Linked DNA regions of Arabidopsis thaliana. The protein of the gene in region 2 interacts with the protein of the main gene of each other region in a pairwise test. Each region holds a gene or a part of one and is shown on either strand. Other genes may lie near its edges.

Evidence for each region.
Region 1: the proteins of HSFC1 (region 2) and IAA18 interact in binary tests that used the Arabidopsis thaliana proteins (3 or more experiments, as listed by UniProt).

What each region holds. Positions count from the first base shown.
Region 1 is NC_003070.9:19,303,312-19,308,033, forward strand, and holds IAA18 (indole-3-acetic acid inducible 18), read left to right. Parts: upstream 1-1,769; 5' UTR 1,770-2,358; coding exon 2,359-2,630; intron 2,631-2,906; coding exon 2,907-3,202; intron 3,203-3,285; coding exon 3,286-3,418; intron 3,419-3,621; coding exon 3,622-3,689; intron 3,690-3,784; coding exon 3,785-3,819; 3' UTR 3,820-4,207; downstream 4,208-4,722. UniProt on the Arabidopsis thaliana protein: Aux/IAA proteins are short-lived transcriptional factors that function as repressors of early auxin response genes at low auxin concentrations.
Region 2 is NC_003074.8:8,939,417-8,943,388, reverse strand, and holds HSFC1 (heat shock transcription factor C1), read right to left. Parts: upstream 2,324-3,972; 5' UTR 1,935-2,323; coding exon 1,707-1,934; intron 1,678-1,706; exon of another isoform or gene 1,623-1,677; coding exon 858-1,622; 3' UTR 515-857; downstream 1-514. UniProt on the Arabidopsis thaliana protein: Transcriptional regulator that specifically binds DNA sequence 5'-AGAAnnTTCT-3' known as heat shock promoter elements (HSE).

The DNA.
Region 1 (4,722 bases), on a different chromosome or scaffold from region 2:
AACTCTTACCCGACTCTTGGTTGGTTCGGCTTTTCCGTCATATCGGTCTCACACGTGGAAGAACCATGTCCGATGGTTCATTATTTTCAAAAGCTTACTCTTTTTTTTTTGGTGTGGCAAAAGCTTACTCTTTTAAATAAGATTGAGTTTTTTTTTTTGGTAACATACGCTTCTTGTGATTAAGTTCATTTAAAGCAACACAATAATTCTTGTGTTTTTTATTTGCATGTAAAGGTAGACACAAAACTCGAATCTAAAATCAATAATTTTATTTGTTTAGTGACTGATTTGAAAAAAACGCAGAATAAACTAACCTGATTAAAAAAAAAGAGAGTTTATATTGGAGCTTACTGAATTCTATCGATCTAAAGTATAAGATGACAAAAAATTCCTCGTATCATTTGGGTTTAAATATATGATGGGATGGTAAATGGTAATTAAAGCCAATAGTAATAATTTATAAAATAATAACGACAAAACGAAATAAAGGAAGAAAATTTGCAAGAATAACTAACAAAAACTTATAAATTAAGAAAGTAACACAAAACAAAAAAACAGATATACTCTCTATATTATATATAATAATGGTATATTTACCCATTTTTCTCCACCTCATTCTAAGTCCCTCCTTCTCTCTTCACCTCTCATCTCTTTTTCTTTCTTCTCTCAATCTTTTTTTTTTTTCTTTTTTTGTATCACATAACAAACAAACGAGAAGGACAAAATAGATTTTTCAGATACCACTTATGTTATCTGGTTGCTTGAGTTGCCAAGGTTGTATCTTAGGGTATAGTTTTTCTATACATCCAAAATAGTATAGTACAACATTTTATTTCTATCCAAAATAGTACATGTTTTTACTTACAAACACTATTTACTATTTTATAAATTCAAATCCGATTTTAAAAATTCAAACTATTTTGTATGTAGAAAAAATATAGGTTTTTTCTAATAAATTTTATAATTGGAATTTATTTTTTGGAAAAGATATATAACAAAAAAAAAACAAATAGGTGAAAAACTAAACTAAATGTTACTAAATCATTTTACCTCCAATTCAACACTAAAATTGTCTTTTCCTTATCCTTACATGCTATTTTCTTAATTTTTATATATATGGTACTATATTTTTAATTTGTTTGTCAAATATGGTTATTCAGCTAAATCACCCAATAGAGACTCAATAGAGACTGAGAGAGAGAAAAAGAAGGGTTTCTCGTAAAATCTCCAAATTCATTTGAACTTTCCCAAACATTGGAATATGTGTAAGTCCCATAGGAGTAGGACAGAGTCGATAGGGGTGTGATCCTAACATACCAGAGAAAGATCGTCGAATCCTCCATTTCTTTTTATGGCAACCATATTTTAATTATATACTACTATTTATTAATTTAATTGGGTGTGATTTTTACTTCGCGTAATATAAATATGCTTTTTCTACATTTTCCCAATAATTTTGTAAAAGTGTAAAGTCTCTACAAAAACATTGTTTAGTCCTCCTTTTTTGGTCTAAATATTTGTTTAGTCCTATATCCATATTTTGTGACACTACTAGTATTATAAAAACATAACAAATTCTCAAGTTACACTTCTCGTTTTGTTTGGGTCAACCACACAACACCACAAGTTTTACTTGTACAAAGTAATTGTTTGTTTATGTTTTTCTGTTGTATGTATTTTTTTTAATTGGTCAAAAGAAAATATGTTTTAAATAAAAAGGTGAAAAAAGGCCTATGGGATTGGAATAATAAGATAGAAAACAAAATAGCATGCTTTGCTTCCTCCACTAAACTTCCTTTAAGGGCAGAGAGAGAGATAAAAAGATTGATTGCGTGTGTTTCACACCAATAAATCCCTTTATTTTTATTTTTTGGTCTCCAAATTTACTAACTTCTAATAATTTCCAATTTTACCCCTTATTTTTCTTCCTTTGGTTTTAACCTATTCACTGCATTTCCTTGGTATAAAATCCAACTTCTTCTCCTTCAAGAATCTAGAGATAGAGAGAGAGAGAGAACACAAAGTGGGAAAAAAGATAAGAACCCACCATAAAGTTTTAACATTTTTCCCTTCAAAAGGCGAAAGCTTTTGATTTGTATAAAAGTCCCACTTAATCACCTCTCTAGCTTCTCATTCCATTTCCATCTCCTCTCTTTTGTTTTCTAAGTTGCTTCAAGAGTTTTGGATAGTGTAGCAGAGAGATTTTAACTAATGGGTTTATAAAATTTTGTTCTTTTGCGTGAACAAGTTGTCAACTTCTAGACAGATTTTCTTTTTGAAGTGTTTTCTTGTCGAAATTCTTCTTCTTTTGGTCAAAGAACGCAAGATTCTTCTGTAGTTCCTCTAAAAAAAATCCTAATGGAGGGTTATTCAAGAAACGGTGAAATCTCTCCGAAGCTGCTTGACTTGATGATTCCACAAGAGAGAAGAAATTGGTTTCACGATGAGAAAAACTCTGTTTTCAAAACAGAGGAGAAGAAGCTTGAGCTAAAGCTTGGACCACCTGGTGAAGAAGATGATGATGAATCGATGATAAGACACATGAAGAAAGAACCAAAAGACAAATCTATCCTCTCTCTCGCTGGCAAATACTTCTCTCCTTCTTCCACCAAAACCACATCCCATAAAAGGTTTTAAACTTCTCATCTCTTACTTTTTGTTTTTCTCTGTTTTGTATCCTTCTCACATGATGATATTCACTTGTTATTAGCCAATAAGGTCCCATCTATCTGCATAAACTTTGTTCTTGTCTGCTTAAGATTGGATCTCAAAACTTTTCATCTTTTTACCCTTTTCCCATCTGAAAGTTTCAGTCTTTTTACTGCCCTAGTTTTCCTCTGTTTTTAACCTTGAGATTGTTCTTGTCTTACTAACAAGTTTTGTTTTGATGCCTTTGTGTTTTAAAGAACTGCTCCTGGTCCAGTGGTGGGATGGCCTCCGGTTCGATCCTTCAGGAAGAATTTAGCTAGTGGAAGTTCTTCAAAGCTTGGAAATGACTCAACCACCTCCAATGGTGTTACCCTCAAGAACCAAAAGTGTGATGCTGCTGCTAAGACAACAGAACCAAAGAGACAAGGAGGCATGTTTGTGAAGATCAACATGTATGGTGTTCCCATTGGTCGTAAAGTTGATCTCAGTGCTCATAATAGCTATGAGCAGTTATCTTTCACAGTTGACAAGCTCTTCAGAGGTCTTCTTGCAGGTAAATTTGAAACCTTTGTCTCTCTATTGATTATGGTTAAAAAAGGGTTGAATTTTGAACTCTAATTGTTCTTATTTTATCAGCTCAAAGAGACTTTCCATCATCCATAGAAGATGAAAAACCAATCACTGGATTATTAGATGGGAATGGAGAATATACTCTTACATATGAAGACAATGAAGGAGACAAGATGCTTGTAGGAGATGTTCCATGGCAGTAAGAATCTTTTCTTTTCTTTTTCGTTTTTTTCTGAATCTGAGTCAGCTTTTTGTTCTATCTAAAGGAGAAGTATTAGATTCCTAGTCACATATTTATTATATCTTAATCACAGTTTGATTAATAACAAACTTAGTTTGGTTAAGCTATTAAAGATTGTGGACTTTTTGATCACTAAAATTGATTATTTCTTAAATTGTCAGAATGTTTGTGTCTTCGGTGAAGAGGCTGCGTGTGATTAAAACTTCTGAGATTTCTTCAGCATTAACATGTAAGTGTAGGATTTTAATAACATTTTTTAGTTGTTTTGGTGACTCTTTTAAGTGAAGTTCTTAGAATGTTTTTTTGTTGTTTTGAAATTTGCAGATGGAAATGGTAAGCAAGAGAAAATGAGAAGATGAAGAAAAAGATCTTTTACAGCTTTTAAAGAAGTAGAGAGATGTTATTAATTGCATTTTGCCTTTAAACTTTGATGAGTTTTTGGTCTTGGAAAAGTTTCTGATATAAGTCTGATGTACATTCTGGTTTGTTACATCTTCTTTTGGCTTTTGAGATATCATAGAGTTTTGTTGGAACTCAAAGACCAAACAGTGCAATGATGATTTTGGGGTCTTGAGTAAATTTACAAACCCTTTTAGGCATATTATAATAGTCTTCTGTTTTTAAGTTTTGGTAATGATTATTCACACTTGATCAACACTTTTAAGTAATGTAACTCTCCCTATGTCAGCAAAGCATCCTTTTCGAAAAACGGAGAAAAGAAACAATCTTTTTCTCTGCCAAAAAGCTCTTTAGCTTTTATTAAATCTATACTTAGGGTATCCGCTATTGTAATGAACTATGAGAGTGAAAGGTTTTAAAACATTGAACAACTTTTCTTTAAATGAGCTGTTAGGACAGATATTCAAACCATTGTCTAACCACATCTTTCATCTTTGTCTGGACTCTTGGGCAACAAAATTACAGACATCATTAGATTATCATCTTCTGATTATTGATCTACATATTTGATAATACTTGATATGATATAGTTTCTATGTATAATCATCTCTAAATTTATGTTTCTAGTTTAGCTTTTGTGTTTCGTAGAATAGATATATAAAATAAAGGGTTGTTCATAAGCATATGTATTCATACGATCAAATCGTTTAAAAGGAAAAAAGGAAGAAAAAATTGGTGGGTATGGAATATTGATAAAGAGAGTACAAAATAGAAAAATTGAAGAGAAGTCTTTTTCGTTGAGAGTCTTGCCTAACTATTCGAAGCAGCAATATGAGACCTTATAGTTACTTTTTTCCTTTTGC
Region 2 (3,972 bases):
CATCAGGTGGTCCAATTTAGATTTATCGTTGTTTTATACTCTCTCTCTCTCTAGCCCAATGAGTGTTCGAAACGTTGTTGGCCGACCAAAGTCCCGTGGCTAACTGTCACGTCTCAAAATTTAACAATGTCATGTTATCAATTTTAGATGAAAGTGAAAGTGGAGCGTCGTGTTGATGATACGTTTGAATCTTGAATGGATGTCTCGTTGACTTGTTATCAGTCGACCGACTTGTGTCGCCTTAACCACGTGGGTTATATATAGGCAATGTTTCTTCTACTTTATGATCAGCTTTAAGCATGTGGGTTATATAAGCTAGTAAGTCTATATACCATGTCAACTGATTCGTTAATGTGTTTGAGAACAAGTGTTTCAAGAGAAAGAGTCAAATACTCGATATGGTTTAGTTTAAAGATGGCCATTAACGATAAATTTGAAATGGTATATAGACTTAATTACTAGCTTAAAGTGGAAAAAGTAAAGCCTATATTTTGTTGTTATTACAAAGATATAAGGCTACAATAATACTTTATTCAAAAATCAAAACACTGAAGTAGTGAAGAAGATCAAAATTGTTGTTATTACAAGTGTGAATATATTACACAAGTCACCTGAAAGTACTTTTAAAAGGAAAACAAAGTCAACATATGAACTTTTAACAAATATAATCAGAAATTATATACTGTCAAAACTTTCTACAAACGATGACTACTGACTCAACTATGGATCTGTCCTTATTTTCTTTCTTTCTTTTGGTTATACATAAAATAATTAAGAACAAACACACAAAAAATAAATAATAATAATAATATAACAATAATAAAGTCTAAAGATCATATATCATGTGAAGCTAAACGCTAAAAGCCACCTCGAAACAGAGAAAATGGATAAGGCGGTGTTGTTGGTGGATTTGACTCTACCACTCCTCCAAACGTCGCCGTTTCTTTATACCTTCTTTCTCCCTGAATACTCCCACATCCTCCTCCTCCTCCTCCGTTAACACTCTCCGGCAAAGAAAACGTCGACGTCAAAGATGATGACGTCGACGACGTTGAATTCGAGAGCATCGACTTCGCCACCAAACCCGTCTCGTAACTACCAAACTGTCCTTGCGTCATAGGAACAATCCACCCATCCGGTGAATGATTCCGGTAAAGATTCTCCGTTGATGACGGCGACGGTGTTGATGATGACATAACCCTAAAGACCCTCCCTTCATCTTCTTCCACTTCTTCTTCCTCTGACTTCACCGTCGACATCGTGACACGACGCTTCTTCTTGTCGGAAACTTGTTGTTGTTGCTTTGTCCGTTCTTTCTCGAGCATCATTCTTGGAAGAAGATCAGGATCTTCAACGACTTTGTAAAGAAACGCCATCATCTGCTCCGGTCTCTTCTCCGTCGCTTCGATCCTCCGGTTCATCCTCTGAATCTCTGCCTCTAGCTCCCTCTGCTCTTCTTTTAACCGTTCGATCTCCCTCACAATCTCACCGTCCTCCAAATCTTGACCGTACATCCCCCGCGCGTGTTTCCTACGCGCTATGTTATTCAACAAATGCTTCTGTCCCCTTAGAAAATGCTCGTTCGCAAACTCCCACCGGTCCGGATCCACTTTCCTAAACCCCTAAAGTAAATAAAGAAAGGATCATTAGTTCGTAATCCCCTGTTTCCAGTTTCATGTATGAGTTTCGGTTATGAATTAACTTACATAGGTGTTGAGTTGACGAACAAAACTGCTGAAATTGTTGTGTTTGAAATAAGCAGGTAAGATTCGTTGCGAGAAGTCGAGTGGATCAACGACTATGAAACTGTTGTGAGCAGGTCCCCAAGTGATGAGCCAATCGGTGGAAGGATCATTGACCATCTGATATGTTTTCACGATGAAAGGTGCGATCACGTTGTTGTTGTTGTTGTTGTTACTATTGTCGTCCTCCATCTCTCTCTTTCTCTGTTTTCCTTATGGTTTATATGTTTGTTGTTGGTGGTGGTAAAGAAATTAAAGAGGAGCCTGGAGGGTTTATATAAAGATAGGAAAATGAGATGTGAAAATAGTAAGTTAAGTGTAGTTGACAGTGAGACTATATTGACGTGGCTTGCTTTTTGTGATAACGTGGCGGGTTCGTGTTTTGCCTTTTACGGTGTCACGAGTGAACTGTGGGACCTATGCAGGTGTGCCTCTAAGCTTTCAGGTCTTTTTTGCCCTTTTTGTTTTGTTTATATTTTCTTATGTCACAAGTTATGTGATACATTTGAAATATATGCATATTTAGGCATTGTTTTTTCTTAATTATAATTTTAAGTCATAGATGATTTAAGCTGCTTGACTAATTCTAAGGGTAAGCTAGTCCCAATATAGAAAGCTTAGTCCATCGATTTTTCAACTGGTTTCCGATCCCGAATTAGAAGGATATCTATGATTCATTTGTAATTTCTGCACAAACAAAATTATTTGTCATGATTTCTTTCTAATTCTTGACATGATTTGTTTCTTTCACTTTTTCACAAAAGAACCTCGTCCTCTTCAAAATACTCCAAAACTCTCAAGAGTGAGAGCAACTTATAAAAAAAAAACACATTTGGTGAAACAAACAAATCTTCTACAATGAATAGAGAGGGTATAATTTAATTTATTATATTATAATTTTTCTTTAGTTTACAATTATGTTAAAAAACGTTAGAAGGAACATGCTGTGTATTCAGATTTTAACTTAAAATATCCGACTAATTTAAAATAAAAAATTGCAAACAATAACACTAAATGCCAAGTAAACATGATTTTATAGACAAACTCTTCAATCTGCAAAAGCACTCCTATTTTCTTATACATACATATCCATGGACTCTGGAATAAATAGCCACACAAGTGTTGCTACTTGCAAGAGTTATTATAGGAGTATTATTAAACAATGATTAACATAAACTACTACAAATATAATTGCTAGGTTAAGAATTAAAACCAATAAGTTCCAATAAAAAATCACACGCATCAAAGGCATTACTATTTTATAGTTTAAACCACCACCGAGAAATCCAATAGCAATCTTATATAAAATTTTCCTAATTATTAATTGGATAGATTAATGGGATTAATCTAGACTTAATTAAGGGGACGTGGGTCAAATGCTAACCACATATTACGTATGATATAATAATATAAATAGTTTGAATAAAACAACATTTATAGAATCAAAGCATGGTCCTTAATCCTTGAGAGCCTTGGAGATAATGACCTCCTCGTATAGGCGAGAGTACAGTTCTCCACTTTTCATTTTTTTAATTGTTGTCTCCTCTCTTTGTTTTTCTTAAACTATAATTTACCTTTTCAATCGAATCTTAATTACAACTTTATTTGAACAATATATATATTACTCTCATCGCCAAATGGGATTAGCTATAATCCACAAGCTATAGCTTTTGTTTGTTTAATTACGTACTATCAGTAGTACAATTTCAAAACCTAAGGACAATTTTGATTTTTATGGGATACTTGAAATTATTAGTCAAGATTGATAGGTTTAATTACTTACTACGACAAAATTTTCCAAACTAATATATGTTTTTATTAAAATTAGCGCTTTGTCAACCTACAATTAAATTTATCTATTTCGATTATTATCAGTTACATAAATTGAGAGGACGATAAAAAAGTATTTTGAGACATCTCTTCCCCACCTTATAATTTTTGTTGTCCATAGCGAAATAAAGGAGAACAAGAGATAGTGTAACAGTGAGACGGTGACGTGGTATGCTTTGTAATAACGTGGCAAATTCGTGTTTGCTTTTTACATGCAGGTGCCACAAAGCCTTAGGTCAATTAGCTTTTCTTAGATGGCAAGTTATTAGTCCGAGCCGTTGTGTATTTGTGTGAGATGTTTTCAAGAGACGACGAGCGTGTGGGTGCTTGGATACTGACATGGTCCGCACTGGTTAGTGACGGAGGAACTCAGGAACAAGTACTGATTCGACACGTTGCG